2 linked regions of the Schizosaccharomyces pombe genome follow. The gene in region 1 interacts genetically with each later gene. Each region holds a gene or a part of one and is shown on either strand. Other genes may lie near its edges.

Region 1 (2,915 bases):
GTCGGGTGTTACGCTTCTCCTTTACTTCCTTTTGTTTGGACCAAGCTTCGTTCTTAATTTTTGCTGGCCGAGCTAATTTTTTGGGTTCAGTTTTTTCGACTTCCAATCGGCGTCGTCTGGCCTGCTCGCGTACTTGATCACGGTATGGTATGGTTGCATAATCAATGTCAAATTTTTTAAAAATATTTTCGGATATTTCGGTGTCTTTTAACTCTGGCATTTTTGGAAGATGTAATAAAGCGTATGCCGTGGCCAACTGTCCCAAATCCAAATCTTTGATACGAAAAATAAACGACGCATGATGTTTTGTGTACGCACGAACATGTGAAACAAACGCTCTTAATCCCTTATCATATAGATCTCTGTCTTTGGATACGATTTTTCTCAATTCGTGGGTTAATACTTTAAGTCGTGAAAGATCTAAAGCTTCAATTGGAGTGTCTATACGAGTAATAGGTACCTTCCTAACCCTTAACAATTCCTCATATTCTTCTTCTCTTCCATCATTTAACAAAACTATTGCAACACCCGCTCGACCAGCGCGACCAGCTCTGCCGCATCTATGAGAAAAAGATTTCGGATCCAAAGGCGGGTCGAGCTGAAGAACAAAGTCAACATTTGGAATATCAAGACCCCGGGAAGCAATGTCAGTTGTAAAAAGAACTGTTTTTTTATTTGATTTCTTAAATTTTTCAAAATTACGTGATCGATTCGACTGAACTTGCTGTCCATGCAAAGCTACTATTTCAAACGGTAATTTATAAGTGAGAAAAAGGGAGTTAAAATATTCAACAGAAGCACAAGAAGAAAAAAAAACAATTGCTTTTTCGTATTCGATCGTACAAAGCAAATGTATCATACATTGTACTTTGTATATGGGAGGAATCACTAAAGATTGTATAGCTAGACTTGACGGTGTTCTTGTATCAATTTTTTTTGATGTAACTGTCACAGAAACACGTACGCTATTTCGAAGGCCAGCAATTTTTAAAAATGATGACACAGTGTCATTCATTGTTGCGCTAAACAACCCAGTTCGACGTTGTTTCGGAAGTTGAGATATAATGGATTGTAATGTACGCTGAAATCCCATGTCAATAAGGGTATCAGCTTCGTCTAATATTAGTATTTCCAAATGCTTACTGGATATATGAGAAAGCATTTCATTCAATCGACCGGGTGTACCAATCACCACTGAGGGGTTTTTTTCCCGAAATGAAGCTAAATCATTCGTGAGCGTTCCCTTTCCCCCAATATACATATCTGCAACGAGTTTTTTCCCTCCATCCAAAGAGTCTGGTTGGTACGCCAAAAGCTCTTTGGTAACATTGAATATCTGTGTAGCTAATTCACGAGTAGGTGCAACAATTAATGCACCCAAACCTGTTTCGTCCGTATCTCTACGAGTGACTTTATCGAAGCAAGGAAGTAAATAGGCCAAAGTCTTGCCTGAACCCGTTACTGCTTCAACTACCAGATCTTTATTTTTCAAAAATAATGGTATGGCATTAGCCTGAACGGGTGTCATTTTTTTAAATCCTTGAGCAGCTACGGCGTTCTTTCTAGTTTATGTTAGTGCTTGTAAATTGTTGATTTGACAAAATCCTGGTATCATTTAGATAATAAAAATTTTTGAACAGGTTAAACATGTAGCAGAACCTAAAATTTTTATTTTAGAATTGAAAACTTACAGCCATTTATCTATATTAATACTCTGAAAACTCATTGTCCCCTCTTTGAAGACCAATTCAATTTTTCGCGAGGTGAGCCAGAGGGGAATGCTTATAGGGAGAGAGAGGAACTGCTAGCGTTTAACCACAACAATTTCAGAAAAGCGTTTATAAAAGTTAGCATGCTTATCAAAGTAAAAGTAAGATAAATTTATTTCTTTTTTATGTATACTAATATATAATCATAGACATTGACAGGGAAAGAGGTTCGTGTTTTAAATGTTGAAAACATTTATATGCAGTTATAATTCATCTATGTTTCTAACCAAAATATAAGATCGAATTAGACATTGATCCAAATGACAAGGTTTCTAGGATCAAAGAACGGGTTGAAGAAAAAGAGGGTATCCCTCCTTCACAGCAGCGTCTGATCTACGCTGGAAAGCAAATGTAAGCACTATGGGAACATCCATACAATGATTCTAACAAACATCACGTAGGGCTGATGATAAAAATGCTGAAAGTTATCATTTAGAAGGAGGCAGCGTCTTGCATCTTGTGTTAGCTCTTCGTGGAGGAAGTTGCTAGTTGTTGCATACTTTATTTATAAAGAAAAATTATGTATAAAAAATCATACTTTTATTTAACGCTATAAACGAAATCTTTTTACTGTTTTACTAATACTAAGAGTAACGAAATGAGAATTGAGTCGCTTTATTATTGCTCTGTTTCATTTTATGTGAATCTATTGATTTGTATAAAAATATTGCTTAAGCTTTTCTAAACTTAAGACGTTTTGGTGATCATGAATTTCAGCGATAAGATTGATTACTTCTTGTTAATTTATGAGTAAAGTAGTCGTAAAGAGACGTTTTGCACAGAAAAGTCAATATATAACAACAATTGCTTGCGCATTCCCATCTGATATCAAAGTATATAAAGCAGTAGCATGCGAAGCAAAACTTCCTCAGTACAACATCGAATGTAATTACCATAAACGCAAAATCTCTAGTAAGACTAAAAGAAAATGTTGTTTAAATAAAACTAACTGCAAAATGCTATGTAGCAAAAACATGGGCTGTTGTGGGAATCGAACCCACGACCACCATCACCCTAAGATGGTATCATACCACTAGACCAAACGGCCACATTGATAGGGGTGCCACTTAAACATATATAAAGGAAATATACATGTAAATCTATATAAATTACATTTTTAAGGAGGAAAGTATAATCAATATGCTT
Region 2 (3,491 bases), on another chromosome or scaffold:
TTTCTTAAATATATATAATTATAAAGATTAGTTTACAACGATCTCCTTTAGTATAGGGGTAGTACACAAGCCTGTCACGCTTGCAGCCCGGGTTCGAATCCCGGAGGGAGAGAATATTTGATTATTTTTAATTTTTGCATTTTTTTTATTACTCAAATTTTGATTACTTTTGTTTGAACAAAATAATACTATAGAAGCCTGCACTGTCATTTTTATTTGAATAGAGGAATTTAAACTAAAATCTATCAGCTTGGCTTTGTTCTGAAAAAGTAAATGCTTCAAAAAGAATATGCCAAATTATTTATTGACTGATTGAAATTGATATCGGTGATGTTTATAATTTGATAATCAGAGTTGACTTTTTTATTTATTTAATTTATTGGTTCATTGATTTTTTTTGTTAAAGATATCATAGTTTAATAAATTATTCCTTACACTTTTTTTTTTTTTTTTTTTGAAAAATTTAATAAATACCCATCCGTACCTTATCGTAAATTTTTGACAGCATAATTTATGGTACATTGTAATTTATTTTGTGAAATATTAAATATATATATATGTATTTATAGAAAGTATTTTCTATTCCATTGAACCCATGTTTTGTGGTTTTATGTGTGACAATATCATCAACTTTTGCTGAAACGTAAAAAAATTTTTGTTTGTCATTTTTTTTTTGAACGAGTGATCATCATAGAAGGCTTTTAAAGCAACCTTCCATTTTCAATTGCCAAAAATCGAACAGTTTCTTGAACTGCTGTTATTAAAGTAGATACACAAGTGGTAGTACGAATGGGAAGGATGTCGCGTCGACGCCCTATGGAATCTATAATTACAATTGCATCCAAAGCTAATTTTGCTCCTCCAAGAGGATGCAGCATTCCCATCTCTCTACAAATTTCATTGTTAGAATCCGAAATAACTGGTAATGAAAATTGTAGAGCACGAGGCAGATGGGCTTTCCATTGACATATATTTTCAACCGTATCAGTAGTGATACCAATCACATCTGTGTTGTAGGATTGCAGACATGGATAAAAGTGACTAATGACAGATATGTGAAGTGGGACGTTGTCAACATAACCATAATCACCGCTGACATTACCAAAGAAACAGAGAACAAATGAAGAGAATAGTATAGGTAATTTATGAATTTCATTTATTCCACCGATACCATTTACAACGTAAACGGGTTTGGAAAGATTAATGAAACATGGTTCAAATACTACTTCCATATCTTCTTCCCTAATGACACGTGCATGGTTCATTCCGTTCCTAAACGAACTCTTTATATGGGGATGCATACCACGCGTTTCTTCATCTTTCGTAGAGCTTCTTCTTTTTTTTGTAGATTTAACTCTTAAAGTACAATTTTTCTCGTGAACAGCATCACGAGTCGAAATGGGAAACTGGAAAAGGTTTTGGTCGATTTCCATTTTCTAACCCTTTCTCTGCAAGAAGGTGAAGAAACGCTTGATACGCTTTAATAGAAAAAAGGTAACAAAAAAAAATAATATCGCTACCGTGCAATGTGAAACAAGCAGTTTCCCACTCTTAAAGTGGTTGGTTTAGGGTAAGTAAACTTGTTTATTTACATGATTCTCACGTCGACAATTAATCTTCAAAGTCGATCTAATTGGCCAAAAGTACGTTAGTTTAATACAAACATGAACCAATCAAATACTCAACCCCATATTTCGTTAATGCATAACAGGTCACAAAAGAGGTTACAAGTCGATCTTAAACTTAAAGCAACACCATACAGTACATTAATGATAAATTCGTTAAAATATGGCAGTTAAGATTAGAAGCTAATTTTCGGCGGCTATTAATAAATTGAATTATATATCTCATTAAAAGATTAGCATTTTTTGGAAAGAATGTCTGTTAACTGACAATAATTAAATAGCTGTTGATTGTGATGAAAACTGGGTCGCTCGATATCTTTTTTCCAATTCAAGGCCAGCTGCTTTTCTACTGAAACGGGTTTAATATCTGCAACTAATTTTCTTATCTCCTTGCAGGCAAAGGTCAATGGGCTTGGAATTGAGTTTTCAGTATTAGAATCCCGTAAACTGTGTTTGAGCCAGTCTATATTTTCACTAGTATTGTCACCTTGTGGATATTTATCGGCCAGTTTCATCCTTGCGGTCTTTAGCTGTTCTCTTAAATTACAAAGATTTTTCTCATACTGTGTCTTTAATGTTTCAAATTCTTTCAATGTTCTAGAAGTGATTTCAGAGTTAACTTCATTCTCGTATGATTCAATTTGTTCTTTTAAACGTTGGTTCATTTCTGTAAGGTCGTCTTTCATACTACTTTCCTCCTCCACTTGTTTTGATAGTTTCAATTTTGCACTGTTTAACTCGTCTATTACAATATTTGCTTTCTCAAGTTTTGCATTTAATTGCAATAATTCCTCTTGAGAGTCTGATAAGCATAGTTTCAAATGTTTAACTTCTGTCAAAGCAGGTTGAGAAGATATTAGTAACTGAGATAGCCTTTGAGTTTCCTCTTGCACCTCATTTAACTTTTCCGATTGTCTTGCTTCTATTTCAGTGTTTAGCTGATTCAAAGTTTCCAAGTCTTGAATTTCTTCTGTTAGTTTTAATACTTTATGAGACAACAAAGCATTTTCCTCCAACAGTTGCCTTCTTGTCTTCACACCATCCACTGAAGAGTTGTTGGACTTTAAGTTTAATAATTCTTGATAAACTGTGCTATTCCAATGTACAAAATTTTCATTTGTTAATGAAAATTGTAAATCCAAACTTCCCGGTACAATATTTAAGTATCTATTCACGTTAGATATTGTCAATTTCTCAGAAAACGGGTTTTTAGGAATTTTTACAAGCTCAGTTATGTCGACCTGAACCTGTTTTAATTGCAAAACCTTAGAAACCTCTGAGACCCCAAGGAGACTAGATGGTGTAACTTGTGTAGTCCAGTTGTCCTGGCTTTTAGGAGTTTTGGAATTCAAACTTCGATCAGAGTACTTATAATTAGGAATCTTTCGAATTTGCAACTTTCGCTTTCTTAGATACTTTATTTCTTTCTGCATAGCCAAGAATTTTTTGAGAAACTTTTCACGCCTAAAATTCCGAGGTTTTTCAATACTGTTTTTACTGCGAAGGAATGTCAACTGAGGTTCAACTTTCTCTAATTCCTTATTTAATTTATCAATTTTTTCTTTTAAGGCGGTATTTTCACACATCAATTCATCCAAACGACCCTTCCTTAATTCTGACTTTAAATTCTCTTTTAAATAACTTCCCTTTGAATGAGGAGTAAATTTTTTTTCACATTCCTGCAAAACGTTGTCAACTTGCCATACAAATTCCTCTTCCATAAAACTACTATCGTCAAGCCCAGACAATTTGCTCGTATCTGAGTTTAACAAAGTAGTGTCAAAACTTGATAATTCTTCTGTTGAAAAATTTAGCTCATCTAGATTTTCAGTTGTAGATGAAGTATAAAACGTAGCTGTCTTTGTG

Evidence for each region.
Region 2: of ned8 (region 1) and but1, changing one enhances a phenotype caused by changing the other (phenotypic enhancement), as found in Schizosaccharomyces pombe (one study listed by BioGRID).

What each region holds. Positions count from the first base shown.
Region 1 is NC_003423.3:2,319,194-2,322,108, reverse strand, and holds ned8 (ubiquitin-like protein modifier for cullin Ned8), read left to right. Parts: upstream 1-1,813; 5' UTR 1,814-1,852; coding exon 1,853-1,870; intron 1,871-1,918; coding exon 1,919-1,936; exon of another isoform or gene 1,937-2,007; coding exon 2,008-2,120; exon of another isoform or gene 2,121-2,170; coding exon 2,171-2,258; 3' UTR 2,259-2,351; downstream 2,352-2,915. Other genes in the region: ATP-dependent RNA helicase Spb4, read right to left, coding at 1-1,562, 1,692-1,726.
Region 2 is NC_003424.3:4,532,816-4,536,306, forward strand, and holds but1 (thioredoxin family protein But1), read right to left. Parts: upstream 1,573-3,491; 5' UTR 1,434-1,572; coding exon 702-1,433; 3' UTR 511-701; downstream 1-510. Other genes in the region: dynactin microtubule-binding subunit, p150-Glued Ssm4, read right to left, coding at 1,859-3,491. UniProt on the Schizosaccharomyces pombe protein: Acts as a negative regulator of the NEDD8 pathway. Has a role in meiosis.